2 linked regions of the Oryctolagus cuniculus genome follow. The protein of the gene in region 2 interacts with the protein of the main gene of each other region in a pairwise test. Links are inferred from orthologs where the notes say so. Each region holds a gene or a part of one and is shown on either strand. Other genes may lie near its edges.

Evidence for each region. The genes of interacting proteins can lie anywhere in the genome.
Region 1: the proteins of REL (region 2) and TSTD2 interact in binary tests that used the Homo sapiens proteins (3 or more experiments, as listed by UniProt). The two-hybrid records come from large-scale screens. The link is inferred for Oryctolagus cuniculus from reciprocal best matches to the Homo sapiens genes REL and TSTD2.

The regions. Positions count from the first base shown.
Region 1 is NC_091432.1:201,428,550-201,432,851, reverse strand, and holds the start of TSTD2 (thiosulfate sulfurtransferase/rhodanese-like domain-containing protein 2), read left to right. Parts: upstream 1-1,492; 5' UTR 1,493-1,632; intron 1,633-4,302. Other genes in the region: NCBP1 (nuclear cap-binding protein subunit 1), read right to left, coding at 1,010-1,043.
Region 2 is NC_091433.1:141,807,260-141,810,769, forward strand, and holds part of REL (proto-oncogene c-Rel), read right to left. Parts: intron 3,463-3,510; coding exon 3,314-3,462; intron 1-3,313. UniProt on the Homo sapiens protein: Proto-oncogene that may play a role in differentiation and lymphopoiesis.

The DNA.
Region 1 (4,302 bases), on a different chromosome or scaffold from region 2:
GCACTCCAGGAGACAAATACGTTAGTGGAGACGCTGCATTCGACTTGGCTTTCCTTCCGTATTTATTACATCTTAGGCATTAACAGATGATGGAATTAACGAGCATCCCCTTGAACCTCTGGTTGTGTGTGCCATCTCCCTCAACCCTCCCAAGAACCAGCACCACCGCTGTCCTATCCCAGGCTAAGCTTCTGGAAGGTGACACGACCTGAGCAAGCCCACGAAATGGAGGGCCGGGTCTGCTCTGAACCTAAACCCTCGGGTCCCCGATCCTGAAGCCCAACCGCTAGGATACTCCGTCCTCCAGGAAGAACGCACTGAAAACAGCAACACCAGAATCGCTCGAGTTTCACCCGTGTGTGTTCCGGACGGACCGTCACGCTCGCGTCTAACCCACACATCTTTTCCTGTTGGCAGTAGCAAGACCATTTCGTTTGCATGATGGCAACAGCGTGGTCTCCCTGAGCACAAGCCGTCGGGAAAGGACGCGGGCACCCGGGCCTGAGAGCTCTCCAGCTAGGACTCTAATCGTCTACCCAACGCAGCACCACGTGTCCCTGTGGGTGTGCGGGAGCCCGAGTTCTTTTCCTACCCCTTCACAGGGAGGGCGGACGGGGCAGGGGGTGCGGAACGCAATTCACAACACGCCTTTGTTCCTTTCCTTGCGCCAAGTCCTCCGAGAGCTCAGCCCAGGCGCAGCTTTGCGGGCTGAAGCCAAACCCCAGGACCCCTGGGGCTCTGTCAAGGATCCCTGCAGGCGGCGCAGGTCTAAACTTTTTACAGCCCCTGGAGAGCAGACGCCTCTGCCCACGGGGATCGCCCGGGCTCCCTTCCTCACGACAAAGGGAACGGGGAGCAAGGGCGGAAGGGGCGCGTTCGCTTTCCAGAAGCCGGCCGGCTGCCCCGCGCGGCGCCTCCCTCCTTGGCTCCCCCAAACGCTGCCGGGGAAGGCGGGATTCCCGTCCCTCCCCTCGAGACCCGGGACGCTAAACCTCGCGGGCGCACTCACCGTCGTTCTCGTCGCTGTGCCGCCGCCGCGACATGCCGCCGGCCAGTGAGCCCTGAGCCGAGACGCCGGGCGGGAAGCGCCGCACGAACCGTCGGGCCGCCGGCCGGCGCGAGAACAGCGGCGAGGCGCGCGGACCGGCCGGCGCGCAGGCGCACTCGCTCTAGACGGCTCCCGGAAGCGCACGGAGGCGAGGCCGCCGGGTGGACCCCGCGGAGCCGGCGTCCAGAGCCTCTCGGGCGTTTGGTTGGCGCGCAACCGCCCCCTCGAGCCTCCTCCGCCTGCCAGGTGCTTCCTTCTCCCGCCTTCCGCTTTGGGTCCTTCCGGGCCAAGCAGAAAAAGCCGCCGCGTCAGCCAGCCAGAGCCCGGCGGCCGCGGGCCAGACTCGGAGGCGTGGTGGTTGAAGGAGGCCGCTCTAGCAGCCACCCGCGGGAGGCCTCTCAGTGGTTTTCCCGGCGGCCCTTGCGCTCACGGCCGCGAAGACTTCCGGAGCGGGGTGACGTCCCGAGAGGCCTTTCCTACGCACCACGCGGCGGGGTCTGTAGGGTCGAGGGCGGTGCGTGGTGACCTTTGCCCGGCGGAGGCACCGGGTGGAGAAGGAGCTAAGAAAGGAGCAGGACCGGCGGGTACGTGCTCCGCTCCCTCTCCCTGCCACTGCCCGGCTTTTGTGGCCTCGGGGAAGGTGGGCGGGAGGAGGGGCCGGGCGGCGTGCGAGGCGGTGCCGCACGAGCGGGGCCCGGGGACGGGAGGGCGGGCCCTGACGCGGGCCTGCGGGGCTCTGTGTGCGCCGGCCGTCCTCTTACCTCTCCCCTCTGTGAGTTGTCTGAGGAGGAGCGGATGAGGGCCCTGTGGTCGCGCTCTCGATGGTTATTGGATACATCTTTACGTGCACACTGTACGAACGTCTCTGCTGCCTTGGCCGTGGCCATCTGAGATTTCACCCCCCCGGGCTTCACCGGTTCCGCCCTCAGCCTGTAAATGGCACCGTCCGGGGAGCGTGCCAGCTCTACTTTGAAAGAGAATCCAGAATCAGACCTTGTGACGCCTTTGTTTAAACTCCAGTGACTTTCCATTGCAAACCTTCTGTCGTGGTTTGTACAGTTCTGCCCTCATCCACTGTTCTAACTGCTCCTTCCAGTAAATCAAGCCCTTTAACATTTTAGAATCTGTTTCCTCTCCCTGGAAGTCTCCGCTCCTCAGTCTGCAGTTCGGGCTCCTCTGGGCTGAGGTCCCAGCTCAGGCATCAGGTCCTTTGTGCGACCTCCCCTCGTTACCTAACTGCTGTTTTATTTTGTTCTAGAAGTATTGGTAAACATCTAATACCTTCTCTGTGCCAGACACTGAATTAAAAAAAAAAAAAAGATTTATTTACTGAGATCGGTACTGTGGCATAGTGGGTAAAGCTGCCGCCTGCAGTGCTGGCATCCCACATGGACGCCAGTTGGAGTCCCGGTTGCTCCTCTTCCAATCCAGCTCCCTGCTAATGGCCTGGGAACGCAGCACAGGATGGCTCAAGTGCTTAGGCCCCTGCACTCATGTGGGAGACCCGGAAGAAGCTCCTGACCCCTGGCTCCAGCCTGGCCCAACCCTGGCCATTGTGGCCATTTGGGGGAGTGAATCAGAGGATGGAAGATATCTCTCTCTCTCTCTCTCTGACTCTGCCTTTCAAATAAATAAATCTTTAAAAATAAATAAAAGTAAGAGTTTTGTTTTGCACAGCTGCATTAGAAATTGCAGTTAGCCAAATTGTTGACTGTGTGAATTTGTAGTTCAGGAGAGGGGCTGGGGTTGTAGATAAAATGTGGCGTATGTATTATTCTACACATACATGTTCCTTTATTTCTGTTCATTTCCCCTTTTTTCAATGAAGTTTCAAGTGCTCACAGAAACAGGGAAAATTACGTAATGAGCCCCATGCCCTCATCCCTGGCTCCAGTAATTGCCAACTATGGTTAATCTGGTTTCAGCTGTATTACTTGCCTTCCGCCGTTATTTTGAAGCAAATATAGTTTCTTAAGACCTTGCTTATGGGATGAGACCACCTAGGGAGTGGGTGTGGATAGAGCAGTTCAGCATGTAGAGACAGGACGATGAGGATGCAGCAAAGGGAGGAGAGGCGGTGGCTCTCATCGCTGTCTCATGCTAAGTTTGCTAGCTTAGTTAGTGTCTTCTGCTACTGGAATACAGGAGTTCCACAAGAACAGGGGCTTGGACGTTTCATTCAGAGCTGCATTGCCCATACCTTTTTGGGTGCCATTCTCAGAGCAGACACTCGCCAAAGAAATAGTTCAGGATACATAAAGAATAAAGTATCGTGAGGCCAAAGGCAGGTTTAGAGCGAGGGGCGAGGTTTTGGGGTGGTGGGAAAGGCATGTGTAAAGAACATGGCTTGTTTGTGGAACTGGACGCAATGTGGTGTGGCGAGGGTAGAGTGCACGCTGGGACACTTCGACCTGAGTCTAGGCTGACAGGAACCCAGTGTTTCAGGTCTTCAGAAGGGAGAGTGGCAGCAGCATGGCAGAGAAGACTTGGTGGAAGAGGTGACAGTGGTGGGCATGGTGAGCCTTTGGGGAGGGGAGGGGGTGGAAGAAAGTGGGTAACAAAGCAGCAAAGAGAGAAGCTTTGGCCAGTGTTCTGGGGAGGCGGCTTGGGCATGAGGCGTGACTGCAGGAAGAGGAGCCCTATGTGCAGCCACTCCTCCGGCTGTGCTCCCTCCCAGTGTACTGCCTCTGAAGGCACACTGTGCCTCGAGCAGTGCCTGGCACGTGGAAGGCCCCCACTCGGTCACTGTGGGATGGATTTTAATTGGAAGGTGATGTAAGCATTTTCTCTACAGTAAAACAGCTGCGGGCACAGGAGGGTGTGGGTCTGTTTTCCTTGTGCCTGTAAGGCCTGGAGCCTCAGAGTTAGAGACCTGCTCCTTTCGTTTGAACTTTGAATGAAATACATTTAAGAGGCTGGCACCATGGCTCACTTGGCTAATTCTCCTTCTGTGGCGCCGGCATCCTGGGTTCTAGTCCCGGTTGGGGCTCTGGATTCTGTCCCAGCTGCTCCTCTTCCAGGCCAGCTCTCTGCTGTGGCCCGGGAAGTCAGTGGAGGATGGCCCAAGTGCTTGGGCCCTGCACCCACATGGGAGACTGGGAGGGAGCACCTGGCTCCTGGCTTCGGATCAGCACAGTGCCGGCCGTAGCAGCCATTTAGGGGGTGAACCAATGGAAGGAAGACCTTTCTCTCTGTCTCTCTTTCTAACTCTGCCTGTCAAAAAAAAAAAAAGACATTTAAGAAAGAAATGAGGG
Region 2 (3,510 bases):
CCTGTTTTTGCAAATAAAGTTTTACTGGAACACAGCCAAAATAAATTGTTATCCTTATTCCAAGAGCCACATAAAACCATTAAAATGTTTTAAATGGAGGCAGGGGTAGACTATATTTTTTTATTTATTCTTTTTTTAAAAATATTTATTTGAAAGTCAGAGTTACAGAGAGAGAGAGGAGGAGGAGAGGCAGAGAGAGGTCTTCCATCTGCTGGTTCACTCCCCAACTGGCCACAATGGCTGGAGCTACACCTGAAGCCAGGAGCTTCCTCCGGGTCTCCCACAAGGGTACAGGGGCCCAAGGATTTGGCCATCTTCTACTGCTTTCCCAGGATACAGCAGAGAGCTAGATCAGAAGTGGAGCAGCCGGAACTCCAACCGGTGCCCATATGGGTTGCCAACACTGCAAGCGGCGGCTTTACCCGCTACACCACGGTGCCGGCCCCTTTATTTATCCCATTAAGATTTATTTATTTAATTGAAAGAGAGAAGAGTAAGACAGAGAGAGAGAAAGAGCTCAGTCTACTGGTTCACTCCCTAACAGCCCACAACAGCCAGGGCTGGGAGCCAGAAACTCCATCAGTTTCCCATGAGGGTAGCCGGAACCCAAGTACTTGGACCATGATTTGCTACCTCCCAGGCGCATTAGTAAAAAGCTGGATCTAAAGTGTAGAATAGCTGGGACTCAAGCAGGCACTCCAATATGAGATGCAGGAATTCCCAACAGTAAATTAACTCACTTTGACACAATGCCTACCCCAGGGAATAACATGTATCTTAAAAGATCATTTTGGGAGCTGGCATTGTAGCACAGCAGGTTAAGTCACCATCTGCAATGCCAGCATCCCCTATCAGCACAAGTTCAAGTCTTGGCTGCTTCACTGCCTATCCAGTTCCCTGCTAATATGCCTAGGAAACCAATGGAAGATGTCCCAAGTACTTGGGATCCTGTCACACACCTGAGAAACCTACATAAGCTGTTGGCTTTGGCCTAGCCCAGCTCCGACGATTGCCATCAGTTTAGAAGTGAACCTCTCTCCCTGTCTTTATCTTTGCCTTTCAAATAAATAAATACATCTTTAAAAAAAAAAAAAAAAAAAAAAGATAATTCTGGCTAAAGCGGAGGAAGACTGAGGGGGAAAAGTACAGTTAGAGCTAATACAAGACCAGTCAGGAAGATATTCCTGAAGCCCAAATTTAGACTTTTGTAGTAGGATGGTGGTGATGGATTTCATTAAATGGAATGGATAGGGCCTGCACCATGGCTCACTAGGCTAATCCTCTGGCTGTTGCGCTGGCAACCAGGGTTCTAGTCCCGGTTGGGACGCCGGATTCTGTCCCGGTTGCTCCTCTTCCAGTCCAGCTCTCTGCTGTGGCCTGGGAAGGCAGTGGAGGATGGCCCAAGTGCTTGAGCCCTGCACCCGCATGGGAGACCAGGAGGAAGCACCTGGCTCCTGGCTTCGGATCAGTGCAGCACTAGCCATGGCGGCCATTAGGGGAGTGAACCAATAGAAGGAAGACCTTTCTCTCTGTCTATAACTCTCTCTCTGTCTCTCTCTTTCTCACTGTCTAACTCTGCCTGTCAAAAAAATAAATGGAATGGATAAGATTCAAGAGCTATTCAGAAGATACCTGTTAGTGATTCAATGTGTATACCTATGTGAGATGTAAGGGATGACATTCATGTGTAAGGCTTTTATAGCAACCACTAACATAGGACATTGGAAGATGACCACTTTTGAGGTGGAAAGAAGCATGATCACAGTAAGATTATGGTTTGGGGTATATTCTCTTTGAAATGCTTTTTCAATACCATTCTCCACTGAAGGAACTCCTTGGCAAAAATTGATGACTTTAGGTCTGAGGCCAAGATAAGTACAAATCTGAACACTTGGTTATGTCACAAAGAAGTGCTCAGAAAAAAATGAGAACATTCCAAAAGGACACAGAAGACAGTTGTAAAGGCTTGCACTGGTCAAATATGGATCGGTTTGATGCCAGTAATGGACTATAAAACAATGGATATAAGAATCCATGAAACTTTTTAAATAAAGGGCAAGAAAAGTTCTTATTTATAATCAAATGTCAATATGACAAATAGAAAAATGATTATCACTGTCTCTCCCTCTCTTTGACTCTGCCTTTCAACTAAGTATTTTTTAAAAATTTCCTACTAGAAAATTTTTTTAAAAGATTTATTTATTTACTTGAAAGGCAGAGTTACAGAATGGGAGAGACAGTGGGAGAGAAGGAGAGAAGTCTTCCACGCTGGGTTCACTCCCCAAATGGCTGCAACGGTTGGAGCTGAGCCAATCTGAAGTTGGGAACTTCTTCCGGGTCTCCCACGTGGGTGCAGGGGCCCAAGGACTTGGGCCATCCTCTGCTGCTTTCCCAGGCGCACTAGCAGGGAACTGGATCGGAAGTGGAGCAACCAGGACTTGAACCAGTGCTCATATTTGATGCTGGAGCTGCAGGCAGAGGCTTAACCTACTATGCCAGAGTGTCAGCCCCTAGACATATTTTTTTACACTTGACAAACAGGCCCATCTTTTGGCAGTCTCACCAATATAGAGTTACGTATTTTTTTTTTAATCTTAGTATTGTTTCATGTTAGTTTCATAATATTCTAAATATTCTAAATAAAAATTCTAGAGTTTTCCAGTTAGTTTGCTTATATTTAGCAATTTTTAAGTTAACTACAAATGAAAAGACAGAGTAAAAATTTGTTTCATAAAATTTTCAAATGAAGAAAGAAAAATCACAGCATTAGGTCACTTTACATTTTAGGGGCGAGTATTTAACATAGCAGTTAAGTTGCTGGTTAAGATGCCTGTATCCCATATTGGAGTGCCTGGGTTTGAGTCCTAGCTCTGCTCCTGATTCCAGGTTCCTGGTAATGCACACTCTTGAAAGCAGTAAGTGATGACTCAAGCCACCCAAGTAAGAAACCTGGACTGAGATCCCAAATCCCAGCTTCGAACTGGCCAACCTTGGCTGTTAAGGACATTGGGGAATGAACCAGTAGATGGGAGGATTCTGTCTATTCTGTCTCTCTGCCTCTCAAATTAATAAACAAAAAAAAATGTTTAAATAGTTTTATATAGGATCCCTGCTAACGATTATGAACTGTACCTACTAATGAAATATAGAAGGGTAGCTCTAATACAAATGCTAAGAAAATTTTATTGTACACTATAGAAATCAGAAGTAGAATGAAGGATTACTTTAGTCTGCTAACAACAGATGATCATGAATAGGAAATAAAGCATGCTATGTTCATTGTATTCATGAAGATGTCTGTGACTGTACTTACAACAAAGGTCTACGTTCTTGTCCAAATTCTGCTTCATAGTAACCATCTCTGCAGTCTTTTCCAACTAAATCATGAGGATGTGGCTTATATGGGTCATTTTTTGTAACTAATGTAATTCTCACTTTTCCTTTTCCATAATAGTTGATAATCTGAAAAAGGGGGGAAGATACATATAATCTATTAATATATGTCATTAG